Macaca fascicularis: one gene and its partner. Each later gene encodes a partner of the first gene's protein in a complex. Links are inferred from orthologs where the notes say so. Each region holds a gene or a part of one and is shown on either strand. Other genes may lie near its edges.

Evidence for each region.
Region 2: MED13 (region 1) and MED16 share a complex: the UniProt entries of both Homo sapiens proteins name them as parts of the mediator complex. The link is inferred for Macaca fascicularis from reciprocal best matches to the Homo sapiens genes MED13 and MED16.

What each region holds. Positions count from the first base shown.
Region 1 is NC_088390.1:46,525,623-46,534,266, forward strand, and holds the start of MED13 (mediator of RNA polymerase II transcription subunit 13), read right to left. Parts: upstream 4,376-8,644; 5' UTR 4,299-4,375; coding exon 4,233-4,298; intron 2,389-4,232; coding exon 2,154-2,388; intron 1-2,153. UniProt on the Homo sapiens protein: Component of the Mediator complex, a coactivator involved in the regulated transcription of nearly all RNA polymerase II-dependent genes.
Region 2 is NC_088393.1:1,441,151-1,449,045, forward strand, and holds part of MED16 (mediator of RNA polymerase II transcription subunit 16), read right to left. Parts: exon of another isoform or gene 7,426-7,895; intron 5,215-7,425; coding exon 5,059-5,214; coding exon of another isoform or gene 5,009-5,058; intron 3,622-5,008; coding exon 3,410-3,621; intron 2,762-3,409; coding exon 2,555-2,761; intron 1,017-2,554; coding exon 806-1,016; intron 1-805. UniProt on the Homo sapiens protein: Component of the Mediator complex, a coactivator involved in the regulated transcription of nearly all RNA polymerase II-dependent genes.

The DNA.
Region 1 (8,644 bases):
CTTTTAACTTTCACAATATTATTTCTATTATGGTAAAACTAGGCCAGGTGCAGGGGCTCACACTTGTAATCCCAGCACTTTGGGAAGTTAAGATGGAAGGATCACTTCAGTTCATGAGTTCAAGACCAGCCTGGTCAACATAGCAAGACCCCATCTCTACTTAAAAAGAAAAAAAGAAAAAAAAATTAAACATTATATATCTCTCTTTTTTTTTTTTTTTCTTTTTTTTTGAGACGGAGTCTCGCTCTGTCGCCCAGGCTGGAGTACAGTGGCCGCATCTCAGCTCACTGCAAGCTCCGCCTCCCGGGTCTATGCCATTCTCCTGCCTCAGCCTCCCGAGTAGCTGGGACTACAGGCGCCCGCCACCTCACCCGGCTACTTTTTTGTATTTTTTAGTAGAGACGGGGTTTCACCGTATTTAGCCAGGCTGGTCTCGATCTCCTGACCTTGTGATCCGCCCGTCTCGGCCTCCCAAAGTGCTGGGATTACAGGCTTGAGCCACCGCGCCCGGCCTCATTATATATCTCTTAAAATTATTTTTGATTCTACAAAGTGTATTTCATGGAATCTTTAAGAAAGATCTGTTAAGTCTGTTTAGATGCTCTGCCAACTTTATTAAGACCAAAGCCCCTAAGTCAGCATTATAGTTTTATTGATAATTATGTTTTATCAACAAATATATTTTATCAATAGTTTATAGTTTTTCAACAATGTTAGTCTCCAAACATTCTAGTAAGGTGATTTTTATGACCACTTAATGATTAAAATAACTCAATACTATATCCAAGTCAATAAAAGAAAATGGAGCTTTCAGCATGATTAGAAGGCATTATCTTGCTAAAACTACTATATATACATACATCATGTATACGTATATGTATATACATACACACATTTTACACATTTAGAACTACATTAAATACAAAGAACTAGGGACTAGACTCTGCAGCAGGCATCTCATTAGAAAAACTACAAAAGCTGGAAAGCTTTCTTGAAGAAATGCAATCACTCTCAAAAATAGTAATTATCACGGGAGAGTATGTTCATTAGAATGTGAAAAGCAATTATCAAAACATACAAATGTAACACGTACATTCCTACATAAATGTTGGTCTTACTAAGTACCAGTTCAAGATACAGACACCTAGAATACATTCTATCCAGAAATAAAATAGATCCTATAGGTCATAGGGACAATAACAAAAACTTCAGAGTACTCAATTTCAAACAAGAACTTTAAAAAAATTATCTAGAAATCCTAAATTTATCTATCAAAAATCATTATCAAACTATCTTACCGAAGTGTTCGGAACCTTATAGCATACAACCAATCATTTACATTCCTATTATCTAAGATTCAGTAAATACTGACTTTGACAGTTCAAAGCTTCAGTAATTATTATGAAAAGCTATAGTTTCTCTTTCTAAAGTAGCATTTGGTCCTAAAAGTCAAGAAAATAAGGAAGTAATCACATTGATTTGCTCATAATAAAATTGTTTGTGTAACCTTTTAGATTATGATCCCATGTCCTATAAAAGCTAAACAAGTTGGCACTTGTCTCTTATTGAGTATGTGACAGAACAGTATATGAGTCACTTTCCAAAAATAACTAAATTAACATATGCCTTCATATGTTAATCAAACAGCACAAATGACAGTAACAAAATACTTACATACCTTAAAACATGCGCGCACACACACACACAAACACAAGGATAGTTACATTTCCAGTACTTTTAGAATCATCTGCCCATTTAATGCAAAAGACTCAACTTTGACAGTGGCTGAAGTGACTCAAAAGTTACATCTGGCTTCAAAACTATTACATGACTTTGTTAGGAACTCTGTTTCCTGATTCCATTTTTTGAGATTAATGTGGCATGCCTTCCTTGGACCCTAACTACCCGTGAGAAATTAAGAAGAGAGGTGGTAAAAGGAGAAAGTCATTCAAGCCTAAAAAACCCAGCTATAACATGGATAATTTGAGTAAAATAAAATAATCATGGTGAAATAAAACATGAAGCTCAATTTTTATCTGGCCTCCTACCTAAGTGTCCCACAATAACAAACTTACTTTGTAATACAAATGATATTCTGGGAGAAGTATACAATGTTGCTGTATCATTAATTAGAAATGGAAAGTTTCTTTCACCTGATAAGTCATGGTGAATAAGGTCAGCAAAATTGGGGTCTTCACCCCACCAAAATATCCACAATTCTCTTCTTCCAGGTCTTTGATCTCGCCGCCAAACACCAAGTACATCTGCCTTAAGGCAGCGACTAAAACTGCTCAAAATGGGGTCTTCTTCTGTCACAGGAAACAGAATAGGGGCAGAAGTTGGGCCTTGCCATACATATTTTTTCCATTTAATTCCCGTCAAGTCAGCCTGAATAAAAGAAAGCATGATGTTTTATTATTGCATATTCACTCAAATTCACAAAAGTACTCCATACGATGTCTCCTATTTCGTTAAGACATTACAATTTTTCAATATATGCTTGAGCTATTGAATGCAAATTAGAACCAAAAAAAAATGACTTTATAATTCAACAACCAACAATTTTAGGGAGAAGAACACAGTTAAAAATAAATACCACCATGTCACTGAATAGCAAGCAAATATGTACTCCAAGTAGAAATAAAAGAAACTGAACGAAGTTAAATATAGACAGACACACACACTTCAATATACAAACAGAGTACATTTTTCTCTGTCCTAAATGGTCACATTTATTCATTGGTGTCAAACGTTTAACTGAAAATCAATTATTAAAGACCCTATCACGGGTTTTTATTCCACATTTACAGAAGTAATGTCTCTAATGAAAAGACATCTGAACAAGTCCTGAAAAAAATCTATGTTAATTCTTCACACATACCCCTGTCGGAAAAGTCAAATAGCTGCTCACAAAGAACTGTCAGATTTGTGCTAGTCTATCTTCAAAGAGCCTGATCCTAAAAGTATCAAAAATAGACTGAGTTGGATAAGATAGAATACAAAACCTGGTGTATGTCTTATTATACGTGAAGAGATGCTGATTAATGGACATTGAAAAGAAAAACATACTGTAGAAGAGGATAGAGTATGAAAGATCTCAATTTAGCATCCAGAAAGAAATTCAAGAGGAATTCAATAATTTAATCTAACTTAAAGGTGCAAAGCATAAGGTGCCAAAAATGAAACTGCTGATACATGACTGGCAGTTTACACTTGCCAACTAGTTGTGCTCCGCCCACTTAACTCACTTATTACCTATCATATACTCTTAATATTTCTCATAGCACAAAGGAGAAAATGAAAAAATAAAGTCACCCAAACTTAAAGTCATTGATGAAGCTCAGCTACTGTCCCACACAGGCCAAGTTATTTGCAACAGTTGGTACTTTTGAAAGTCTCAACTGTTGGATGTTACCAGACCTGGGCTAACCTACACAATGGTCATCCCTACACCCAGCTTCTCTGGACTTTTCATTTCAATCAAACAAGGGAGCAGCCTGCTCAAAACATTCTGAAAAAGCAAGCAAAACACAATAAATATAGAAACAGTGCAAAACCACAGCACCTCGTCCATTAGCCCCCTTCACTCGCACAAAAAAAATTATGTTCTAATAAAAGCAAGATGGCTAGAAATTGTCAAAAATGGCAAACTGTTTTCAAAGTTTAAAAAGAAAACATATGAAATGGCACCTACTGGTTTTTACAGAGAGATCTTAAGTCACCCAAGGAAGAAACTAACCTTGCGTTAGTTTGACTCATACAAAAAAAATGTAAAACGAAGACAGGTTTCTGGGGCATAAGTTCTGGGGTCCTGTTTACATGGGGAAACCAAATTAAAAGGATGAGACATAAAGGCGGTGGGGAGCAGGGGCAATAATGGAAAGTGTGAAGCTGGGATACAAGGCCAATAAGCAGAAAAGCAACAGTTAAGAGAGAGAGAAAGGTTACTGTCCTGCCAGATAAGGAGCTCAAGTTGAGGACGAGACTACGGTGAAGAGGAGAGTCCGAAAGAAGACGAGAAAAAATGCCAACACTCCCCAAACAGGGCCCGGGACCGTGGGAGAGCGAACGCAGTCTCCCGGGGTTGGCCGCGGAGCTTCGCAGGGCGCCGGCTCCGGCTGGGCCTCGCCCGGGGACTCGGGCATCTGGACCAGACCCGGCCCCCTCCCCCACGGCCCAAGGGCGCACCTCACGGCCCCCCTCCCTCGGCGCCCGCCGGCCCCGGCACTCACCAGGCAGAAGAGGTTACAGTGACAATCTTCCAGGCTGGCCCCGTTCGGCACGAAGGAGGCACTCATCGTCCCTCACAGCAGCCGCCGCCGGCGCCACAACCCACCATCCGCCATTACCGCCGCCTCCGACCAGAGAGAGAAACACAGACACCGGGGAGGGCGTGGGGGGGTAGTGGTTGGGGGGGCGGTGGAAGAGGAGGCCGCCGGGCCGCCCGCCCTCCCCACCCACCCCCCCGCCGCCGCCGCTGCCGCCGCCGCGAGCAGCCCCCGCCGCCCGGCCGGCACCCAGCCGCCCGGGGCCGAGGGCCGGAGGCGGGAGGGCCGCGCCGCGCTCGCCTGGCGGGCCGGACTGCGGAGCCCGCAGACGCTCGTCCTTCTCTGGGAGACGGAGGGGATGTGTGCCCCTACCACAAGAAAAATAATAAATTACACAATAAATAATCAAAAACGAGTCCGAGACGGCAGAGCCCAAGCCCTGGAAGGTTCTCCCGGGCGGGGAGGCGCCCACACAGGGGCGGGAAGGGCGAGAACCGGGAGAGAAGCCCAGGCCCCCGGCCCGGCAGCGGCGATGTCCTTAAGCCCAGAGTCTCCTCAGCGGCGGAGGTGGTGGCGGCGTCTGCGGGCTCAGACCATTCTCTGGCTCTGTCTTCGTGTCGTCCCTGGGCCGAGCCGGCCTAACGTCTGCCCTCCTGCGGCCTCACCGGCTGGACGCCGTAGTCTCCCCCATTTTGTGGGCCCAGCGGGCGGTGTTTTTCCCCCTTTAATCCGAATTCACGGGTTTTCCCTTCGCTTTAATGGCGGCCACAGGGACCAGCTCGCCCTCTCTGCTCACCCATTGGCCGCCTTGAGGTCACGTGGGCCCGGGCTCCGTGGGGAGGGGGAGAGAGAAGTGAGCGAGGGAGGGCCGGGAAGCTTTCGGCCGAGGCGGTGAGCCCCGGGGACTGGGCAGCCAGCTGGTAGCCACTAACATAGCGCCACCTGCTGGGTGCCCTGGCCAGTGTAAAATGACCCGTGGCCCTGGCCCTGTCTTTGCGGGGAAATTTACAGTCCAGGAAGGTTCATTTCACAAATCAATGGGAATTACGTGGAAATCAGTTTGAGTTCTTTGGAAGAGAAAGTATTGACAAAAATTCCAAGACATTCTCATTTATTTCGCGAGGCCGCTGGGGTGCAGGCGCAAACCTCTGGATTTGGGAGTCAGACGATCTGGATGGGGACGAGACTCCACCACCTAAAAGTTGTGATATGAAGATAGAAACTTAAGAAACAAAATATTGCCCTGTAGTTAATAGACTGGGAATTAGAGCCACACTCCCTGGGTTCCAAGCTTGAGCAAATCACTTTCTGCTCTGTGTCTTGTTTCCTCGTCTGTAAAACGGGGAAAACATGCCCCTTACCCCACAAGCTTATTGTAATGAGTTAATGCAAATTAAGCAGGTAGCCCAGGGCCCTGCACAGATAAGCACTGTTAAGAGTTAACTATTATTGTTGTCATCGTTACCTCATACAGTTATTGTGAGAAGCAGGAGAACTAGTGTATGTAAAGGTCTCACTACGTTTTTGTTGTTGTTTACTTCTGTCTCTCTAGTGCCTAAAAAAAGATACCTAGCACACAGTAGGTGCTTCATATTTGTATATTTACAAATGAGTGGGTGGTAAGAAGTAAGAACCAAACAAAAGGTTCATTCTCTTTCCCATAAAACACCCAGTGCTTGGATGGGTTACACTTCAATATAAGAGTTCAAAACAGTTTCTCTGACGGTTTTAGGATTGCAAGACAGAAGAAGAAAAGATGATTCAGAAGTTAGAAATATCGGTGAGTTAGGACTTACTGTAATTTTATGTAACTATTACAGATACATAATTATGTATTATGTGTTATAGATACATAATTGTATCTGTAAACTGAATGGTAGAGTCTTCCATGTCACTTCTTCAGCCACGGAATGAAAAAGAAGTCCTTGCCGGGCGCGGTGGCTCACGCCTGTAATCCCAGCTCTCAGGGAGGCAGAGGCGGGAGGATAGCTTGAGCCCAGGAGTTCGAGACCTGCCTGGGTAATATAGCGAGACCCTGTTCTCCACAAAAAGGAAAAAAAAAAAAAAAAAAAAAGACAAAAAAAGAAAAAGAAGTCCTCATTCATCCACTTGTTCATCTGTAGTGGTGAAGAGCCCAGGTCTGAAGCCCAAAGGCTGGAGAAAAAGCTCTGCCCTGCACTAGTTAGTCTTAGACCAAATTTGACCTTAGATCAAATTAATTTCTCTTTCTCTCAGTTATTGTAAAATGGGGGTAATAAAAGTACTTTTCTCCTAAAGTGCCTGGTGAATTAAACAATGTAGATACAGTGCTTGCCACAGTGCTTACTTAATGTTAATTATTAATATAATTTTAAAAATCATTATTGAGAACCTGCTGGCTCAATTAAGTGTGTTCCTGCTCTGTGCTAGGCCTAGGATACAAATAGGAATAAGATACCTGCCTGTCCCTCAAGATTCCTGAAGAGAGGCACTAAAGGAAATATTTCCTACAGAATAAGGTAAAATACAATGGGGGTAATTGCTTAAATAAGGTATGTACCTACTATGGCATAATAAGTGCACTAGAAGAAGAGCATCAAAGTTAGGGAAGTTGTCATAAAGTAGGTAGCTTTTGAAATCAGATTTGAAGGATAAAATGAATTCTTATAAAGCCCTTTGAAGCAGTTAAATCTTATTAAACCTAATTCGAACCCAAAGTTCACATATCAAAGTCAATTATACAACCAGGACTAATTCAATCTAGGAACTCAAATCAACTAAGGTTGGTATCCTTTATAACTGAGTTCCAGCACCAGCAGACAGCAATCCCCAGATCCAATGAGGTAAGCGCTCCTCTGCCCATTTCCCTTTCCCTGAGAGACTCCTCAGATCTTTGTTCCACTGCTTTCCTCAGGCTGAAATACGCTCCTCGACCTCACATCTAAAGGGGTCTCCATTCTCCTTAGAAGTCTTGCCCTCCCGTTGCCCCCACCCCCTGACTTGAGCACCATCCTCAGGATTCCAGTGGCAGGTAGAATCTACCTGGAACCTACCAGGTAGGAGGTAACATTTGATTGACCTTTCTGTTTGAATGTCAATCTTTTCAAAAAGAAGAGGGAGACAAGGAGACAGAAGTGAAGAAGGGAGGAAGACCCAGAAGAAAAAGTCTGAGGATCGCAGAAGGGAGCAGGAGAGAGAGAAAGACAGGACTGAGAGAATGGAGAAGCAGAGTAGAATAGCGGGGATTCCAGTTGTGAGGGGAATGGAATCATGGGGAGAAGGGAAAGAGAAGAAATAAATATTTTCAGCCCACAAAGAACATACAGAAAGTAACCACTTACATTCTGTAAAAATGACATTTTGTGTGATTTAAAGAGTAATGGAGGCAGGGCGCAGTGGCTTACGCCTGTAATCCCAGTACTTTGGAAGGCCAAGGCGGGCGGATCACGAGGTCAGGAGATTGAGACCATCCTGGCTAACATGGTGAAAGCCCGTCTCTACTAAAAACACAAAAAGGCAGACACCTGTAGTCCCACCTACTCAGGAGGCTGAGGCAGGAGAATGGCGTGAACTCAGGAGGCGGAGCTTGCAGTGAGCCGAGATCACGCCACTGCACTCCAGCCTGGGCGACAGAGCGAGACTCCGTCTCAAAAAAAAAAAAAAAAAAAAAGAATAATGGAAATACGGACTTTGGGTATATCATCCTGGTGGGGTATGTTGATAATGAGGGAGACTGTGTATGTGTGGGGGCAGGAGTTATATGGGATTTTAAAAAAGTAATGGAAATAAATAAAAACATTACACACACGTTGTCGGCTGGGCACGCTGGGTCACGCCTGTAATCCCAGCACTTTGGGAAGCCGAAGCAGGAGGATCACCTGAGGTCAGGAGTTCAAGACCAGCCTGACCAACATGGAGAAACCCCGTCTCTACTAAAAATACAAAAATTAGTCAGGAGTGGTGGCACATGCCTGTAATCCCAGCTACTTGGGAGGCTGAGGCAGGATAATTGCTTGAACCCAGGGGGCGGAGGTAGCAGTAAGCCGAGATCACGCCACTACACTTCAGCCTGGGTGACAAGGTGAGACTCTATAAATAAATAAATAAAAACATTACACATTGTCAAAAGTTTGGCAGATACATAAAAGCATAAAGATGAAAATTTTAAATGTACATTACCCAAAAAAGTCCATATCATCACCATTCATAATCACTTTTTAACATTTGATGTATTGACTCTTCCTATATATATCTTTTTTCCTGCATGGTTGAGATCATACTATATGACCAATTAACTACACACATTTTTTAACCATCTAGTATGTGTCAGGTCATGTGTTGACAAAATAGAGCATACACAAGCAGTTCATAATCTTGCTTATAATGGCACTTGAACA
Region 2 (7,895 bases), on another chromosome or scaffold:
ATTTTTAAGAGACAACCTGCCAAGCACAGCGGCTCACGCCTATAATCCCAGCGCTTTAGGAGGCCGAGGCGAGTGGGACACCACATGCTGGGTGAGCTGCTTAGCCTCTCTGCCTCAGTCCCCTTATAGCAAAATGGGAGGAGGAGCAGACCTGCCTCACAGGACCCGGGTGCCGGGTCTCGGCCTGGGAGTAGCATCTCAGCCCCCAGGTGGAAGGATCGCTTGAGCTCAGGAGGTCAAGACCAGTCTGGGCATCACAGTGAGACCTTGTCTCTGCGAATAATTAAAAACTGCGTGTGTGGCGCACGCTTGTAATCCCAGCTACTCCAGAGGCTGAGGCGAGAAGATTGCTTGAGCCTGGAAGGCAGAGGCTGCACTGAGCTGTAACTGTGCCACCGTGCTGCAACCTGGATGACACAGTGAGACCCTGTCTCTAAACGGCTGGGTGTGGTGTAATCCCAGCCTTTAGGCTGTATCCCAGGACTTTAGGAGGCTGAGGCAGGTGGGTCATTTGAGGTCAGGAGTTCGAGACCAGCCTGGCCAACATGGTGAAACCCCATCTCTACTAAAAATACAAAAATCAGCCGGGCGTGATGGTGCAGGCCTGTAATCCCAGCTACTTGGGAGGCTGAGGCAGGAGAATCACTTGAACCAGGGAGGCGGAGGCTGAGGCTGAGGCTGCAATGAGCTGAGTGTGACACTGCACTCCAGCTAAGACCCTATCTCAAGAGTAAAAACAATAAATAAATAAAAAAAAAAAAAAATGAAAAGAGCCTCAAGGCCCTGGGCGCGGGACAGGACCCACCGACGTCAGTGATCTTGGCGCAGATCTCGGTCAGCCGGTCGCCGGGGCTCTTGTCGGGCGTGTTGAGGAAGTGGGGGCGCAGCAGCGACTTCAGGGTGGAGCTGATGGCGATGAGGAAGAGCTTGGTGTGGTAGTCGCACACGCGGGTCACCGTGCAGGGCGACAGCTTGCAGAGCGAGGCCTTCATGGCCAGGATCCGGGTGGAGAGAACCTGGGGGCAGGAAGCCGGGTCACCCCAAAGGGCTGTGGCAGAGGCGCCCGCCAAGGCTCCAGTGGGGAGAAGAGCAGTCCGACCCTGAGCCCAGGTGTTCTGTGAGCTGGGAAAGCTGCTTCACCTCTGCACCTCAGCAACCTCGTGGCAAAACGGGCGCAGAGGACCGGCCACACAGGACCAGGTGCCGGATCTCAGCTGGGAGCAGCTCTGCCCCGGCGGGGGCGTCCTGGTGATGTCTGCAGACATTTCTAGTTCTCACCACTGGGGGTGCCCCTGACAAGTGGAGGCCAGGGAGGCTGCTCAACAGGATGCCCCCCACCCCAGAGGCTGCTCCAGCCCCCGATGTCCGCGGTGCCTGCAGGGAGACCCTGGTCTAGCAGGACAGAATTAATGAGTTGAAGCATTTTGGGAGGCTGAGGTTGGAGGATTCCTGGAGGCTGGGAGTTGCAGAGCCTGTGTAACACAGAAGACCTCATCTCTACAAAAAATAGAAATAACTAAAAAACAAAAATGAAACACTTGGCACGCAGTGAGGGCCCAAGGAGGGAGAGAGTGAGGCCTCGCCATCACAAGCCCCGTCACTGGCTACGGACCCCAGCCATGCCGGGGTTTAGCATCACAGCCCCCTGCCTGGGTCTCCCGTGTCTCTCAGCAGGCTGTGCTGTGAGTGGGATATTTTTCCCATTTTATCTTCGTATTGGTTCTTGGCGGCATAGAGGAACACGACTAAGGTTTAGAGGGCTGGTCCCATGTGCAGCTGCCAGTTGAGCTCGTTAGATCTGAGGTCTTTCGCAGACACTCTGAGATTGCAGGCGCATGACGACATCACTGCAAGAGACCTTTCTGATGGGCGGGCCTCTCTGTCCCCTCCTCTCCTTCCAACGGCCAGGCCTCCGTGTCCGCCCTCTCCTCTCCTTCCAACGGCCAGGCCTCCGTGTCCGCCCTCTCCTCTCCTTCCAACGGCCAGGCCTCCGTGTCCGCTCTCTGCTCTCCTTCCAATGGGCGGGTCTCTGTGTGTTCATCTTCTGACTGTGCTAGCTGAGGCCTCACACCATGGGCCTGCCTGGTGTGCACCCTGGAACCCTCTCTCACTCTGAGAGGATGACTTAGAAAGACACCCCCAGACTGGGAACACTGGAGAAGGGAGTCATCCAGGGAGCATCAGGCCTTACCTGTGAGGCTTAACGTGTTACAGAGGAAACTTCCCAAGTGAGGAGGGAAACAAAGTGCTCCTCTGAGGTGCAGCTTTACTGGACGGGCCTCTGGGTGCACACCCCACGCACAGCCTCACCTGCTGCAGGCTACCTGCCCCTCCTGCCCTCCGCCTGCCACAGAGCCCCTGATCTGCCACAGGGACCCACCACAGCTGCCACAACCCCGTCTGCTGCTGGGACCCCCACGTCTGCCGCAGAGACCTCCACAACTAATGCGGGGACCCCCCTCCCTGCTGCTGGCCCCTCACTGACCACGGGGCCCCTGCCTGCTGCAGGGCCGCCCCCACCTGCCACGGGGCCCCACCTGCCACATGACCTCACCTGCTGCAGGGCAGCGGTCTGGCGCGTGTACTCCTCATGCAGCTTCTCCACCAGGCTCTGCACCATGCTGGGCTGCACGTGCAGCAGGATGTCCCACCAGTCATAGCCGGTTACCATGCAGTACTCCAGCAGGAAAAGCAGGTGCCGCAGTGCCAGTCCCACCTCCAGCGGGTGGCCCATGGAGGGCGAGAGGCGGAGCACGCTCAGCTGCCAGAGACAGAGCCCAGGGAAAGCCGGGTGAGACGTGGGGCTGCAACCTCAGCCGGGAGGGGCATGGGGCCCTGGGGCTGAGGTGCGTGTTGTCGGGGGCGGGGAAGGGACCTGCAGCTCCTCTCCAGGTGGCTCTGGGCCCACTCTGGAAGCAATGAGGCAAGCGAGGCCCTTTATTGAGCCTACTTTGAAGGCTCCAGATGGACCCATGGGCCAGTGGACCGGTGGGCCAGCCATGCTTGTGGGCCTGTATGTGCACGCCCCCATGTGCCGGCCCGTGTGCGTGCATGTGTCTGTACTGCCTGCACCTTTCTGTCAGGGTCATGGACAACGCCTCTGGGAACAGGGAAGGAAAACTTCCCGAGCCCTGACTGCGCTGGACGCGGAGCCAGGCTTACACTCGTCTCCTTTAACTGAGGAGTCCACCTCGTGAAAGGCGGTCCTCTCAACAGCTCCTAGCTAGGAAGCTCCTAATATGCGCTGTGAGCCACCCCAGTGACCTCGCTCATCGAGATGAACCCATGGCACAGACGAGGCAGCCCAGGCAGGGGCTGGCGAGGGGCTTGCACCTGCAGTCCCTTCCCCAGGGGGGCACCTCCCTCTGGCACCCCATCAGTCCCAGCCCCACACACACAAGCAGCTCACCTTCCCCTGGTTGTCAATGCCCACGAGGGCCAGTGAGGTCCAGGAGAGCTGCATGGCCTTAAAGTGGACGGCAGGGCCTGCGGTGCGGGGGCGCTTGATGGCCGGCTCGTCCACGGGCCTCGGGGTTGCGGAGCTGTAGAAGACGGCCATGGTCTGCAGTGAGAGCCGATGCACGATGTGGACGCTGCCGTCGTGGAAGGCCAAGGCCAGCCCTGCGGGGCACGGGCACTCCTTAGGCATGGGCAGGGCCCTGGACACGCCCACCTGGGGAGGGCCGCCTGCTCTGCAGCGTGTGGAGAGCCAAGGCTGCCCATTTAGGGGATGAGCCCTCCCCGGCATCCAGTACCCGTGCCCCCAGCTGCTCCTTCTTCAGTTACAAAGCCCCTGAGCACCAGGGGAGCAGGAGTCAGCAGCCTTGGCCACACAGCTCCCAGCCCCTCACAGCCGGGGCCATGTCCTTGCTGATGTACCACTCAAGGAGCACAGGGGACGAGGGCGCTACAGGTGGGGGACCAAGGGGTGGGGGACCAAGGGGTGGGGCTCCTGGCATCCCAAAGAGAGGCATCTTAGGGTGGTGGGCTGGGGCTGTCAGTCACACTGGGGTCTGCCTCTGTACGAAGGCCAGGGGGAGGTGGGGTCCAGAGCCCAAAGCTCATGGAAAAGAGGACATAAAAGTAGTCGCTGCAGTAGAGAGGCTGGAAAATGGAGCATAAACCGAGGGCTTTGGAGCACAGAACCGCATCCCCTGAACCTCTCTGCAGGCTCCGAGAACAGTCCTGAACCCTGAGCGGGTTTTGATCAACGCTCTTTCCAGGGAACCAGGGGAGAATGGGAGCTGGGGGAAGGAAGGGACCTGAGCTAGAGCGGACTTGTCCCCACTTCACAGCTGAGCAAACAGGGTCAGCACTGAAGAGCGCACAGACTCACTCAGGGGCATGGACGCCACCGTTTGAGCTCAGGACCCACATTACAGCTGCTGCAGCGCGGAGAGGAGAGGAGCAGCCTACCCGGAAAGGAGTTCCGCCCCCAAGTTCCCCCTGCTCCCTTGTTGATTTGCTCCCTTTACAAATTAAAGAGCACTGAATCTGTCTGCCAGCCTCATAGATCCCGAAAGATGACGTCTGCCTCCTAATCGGGAACCCATCAGAGCCCAGGAGGCCGAGCTCCCACGGCCCCGCGGCCTGGGCTCAGGGCCCACCTCCCCCCCTATGAGCTCCCACGGCCCCGCGGCCTGGGCTCAGGGCCCGCCTCCCGTGGTGTGAGCTCCCACGGCCCCATGGCCTGCGCTCAGGGCCCACCTCCCCCGCTGTGAGTTCCCGCGACCCCATGGCCTGCGCTCAGGGCCCACCTCCCCCGCTGTGAGCTCCCACGGCCCCCGTGGCCTGCGCTCAGGGCCCACCTCCCCCGCTGTGAGCTCCCACGGCCCCGTGGCCTGCGCTCAGGGCCCACCTCCCCCGCTGTGAGCTCCCACGGCCCCATGGCCTGCGCTCAGGGCCCACCTCCCCCGCTGTGAGCTCCCACGGCCCCGTGGCCTGCGCTCAGGGCCCGCCTCCCTTGGTGTGAGCTCCCACGGCCCCATGGCCTGCGCTCAGGGCCCACCTCCCCCGGTGTGAGCTGAGGCCGAGTGGCTGCCGCTGGCTCCACCGTACCGAGGCCAGGGTAGAACTGCGTGTCGCTGGCCACCTTGAGGTCGGTGTTGGTGAGCGAGATGGGCAGCTTGGGCAGCGCCACGGCCGACACACGGTCCAGATCGTTGGTGGCCGACAGGATCCGCCATTTGAGAATCGTGGGCTGTTTGTCGCCAACTGAAAAAGCAGGGGCAGGAAAACAGGAAGGTAACGGAGTGAAGACAGGCTGAGGAGCAGCCGCAGGAGCCCAGCAGGACCCGGCGTGCAACCGCCCAGGGCCCCTCCCGGGTCTCACGCGTCTCACGCAGCCCCGCTCCCACGCCCGGAAGACGAGGCCCGGCCAATCCGAGCGCTCTGTGCCTCGGCCACTGATTGGTTCCGGGACGGGCACGTGACCCACGGCGGGCCAACGGGATGCGGCCCCGGGATTTCGTGGACACCTGTGGGGTGGCGCCGTCTCGCCCCCTCGCTGGAGCGGACAGTGGGGAGACGACGCCCCCCCAGACCTGCGGCCATGCAAACCCTAACACTCTCTCGGCCTCAGTCAGCTGAGCTGGGACTTCCATCCCTCCTCAACTACAGTTCCAGGCTCCCCACACAATAAAGCCACGCGGGACGGTCGCACCCACAGATCTGCTGCCTGGCAGCCTGTGTGTGAAGACGCGGCTCCTCCCAGCAGGGCGGAGGCTTCTGCTACCATCTCGGGCGGAGTGGTAGCCAGTGTGACACGGCCGGGCACCTGGGCTCACACCTGCCGTCCCAGCACTTTGGGAAGCCAAGGCCAGAGGATGGCTTGAGCCCAGGAGTTCAAGACCAGCCTGGGCAACACAGCAAGACCCCATCTCTACAAAAAGTACAACAAACGTTAGCTGGGTGTGGTGGTGCACGCCTGCGCGTGCCTGTAGTCCCAGCAACTCAGGAGGCTGAGGCAGGAGGATTGCTCGAGCCCAGGAGGATGAGGCTGCAGTGGGCGGAGATCAAGCCACTGCATTCCAGCCTGGGCTACATAGGGAGAGCCTAAGTCAAAAACAAAACAACAACAACAGAAAACGGAGACCCAGAGAGCATGTGCGGGGGGTCCTGCTCTTGCTGCTTGTGGGACACTGAGGGCAGCCAGAGCCGGCCTGCTGGGGCATGTGGGGCCAGTGGACGGGCGACGCCACCTCGGCTGCTGACCGCAGACACACAGGAACCAGGACGGAGCAGCTGAGGCAGCCCAGCCACAGAACCAGAGCGGGGCTGCTGGTCTGAGCTGCTCGGTTTGGGGCTGGCTTGTTACTTGGCTGAAGCCGACGACCACACGGCTGCTCTGTGCCACCCGCGTCATGAGGTCTCTGCTCTGGACAGGGTATCACAGTCACAGAGCCTGGGCCTCCTGCAAACCTGTACAGGGGTCCCATGAGCAGCATTCCCCTGGGGACACTGAGGCCCAGAGAGTGGCTGAGATGTGGGGAGGGCACACAGTGGTCAGGGCGGCTGGCCCTGTGGAACTGAGCCTCTCACAGGAAAGACAGGGTTAGCACTGAGTGAAGCAGCCGCCATGATGAGCACACGCCCAGCTGGTGCCCGGGGCGCCCTCACAGCCCGATTTACGTCCCCTCCTCCATCCAACTGACGGCTGCGGTCAGCATTTCTTTTTTTTTTTTTTTGAGACGGAGTCTCACGCTGTTGCCCAGGCTGGAGCGCAGTGGCGCGATCTCGGCTCACTGCAAGCTCCGCCTCCCGGGTTCACGCCATTCTCCTGCCTCAGCCTCCTGAGTAGCTGGGAGTATAGGCGCCCGCCACCGCGCCCGGCTAATTTTTTGTATTTTTAGTAGAGACGGGGTTTCACTGTGGTCTCCATCTCCTGACCTTGTGATCCGCCCGCCTCGGCCTCCCAAAGTGCTGGGATTACAGGCGTGAGCCACCGCGCCCGGCCTGCGGTCAGCATTTCTAAATGACAGGGGACTTGAAGCAGGGGGAGGCTAAGCTGCTAAGTGCGGACGTGGGGCAGTGGGTGAAGAGCTGGGTGCCGCAGGGACTGAAGCCTGGCATGGTGGGCACGTGGGGTGGTGGGGGAAGAGATGGGTGTGGCAGGGACTGTGTCTCAGTGGCCCCCAGCTGCAGGGACGTGAGACCCAAGAAAGGCTGTGGCGTGCATGTGAGACGTGGCTCTTAGGGACGAGTAGGAGCTGGGCCAGCAGGTGAGGACGGCTGCAGGAGACGAGGAGGAGCGTTGGAGCCCGGGACTACCCGGTGGTCTGGTTGTGGGCAGACGGTGGACACAGATGTGCCCAGCGGGGGTACCAGGCAGTGAAGCTGAGGGTCCTTGCAGCCCTGCCTGCCACGCGGGGTGGCGCCAGGTGCTGCCATAGGAACCAGCGCAGCTCAAACTGCAGGGTGACTCACCACAAGGCCCGGGGGAAGGAACGAGGCCTGGGGGAAGGAACGGCAGTGGCCCTCTTCAGCTGCCTGGTGACTCACGACGAGGCCCGGGGGAAGGAACGGGCAGCCGCCCTCTTCACCTTTACCGCCCCTGCGGCCACAATGGGCAGTTGACGTAAACACCTGCAGGCCCCAGGAGCCATCGGGGCCTCTCGACAGGGGCTCATTAGTGGCTTCTGAGGAGCACCAGCCCACACGTCCGGCCGCTCCAGGGTCCATTCGCGCTCGTCGGCAAAGGCCTGGGCTCTTGTCTGCCAGGAAAACACTTCCCTTCTCCAGGGCGGAGGCCGGAAACCGGGCCCGCAGCCGCCGAGGCTCTGAGCACCAAGTGGCTGTTCTGGCCACGGTCATGGCAGGCGGGCGTCCCTGCTTCGCTCCAGCCCCAGATTTTGTGCCGGAGGTGGGGGTGACGGGCTTGGCTCCGTGGGTGCGGG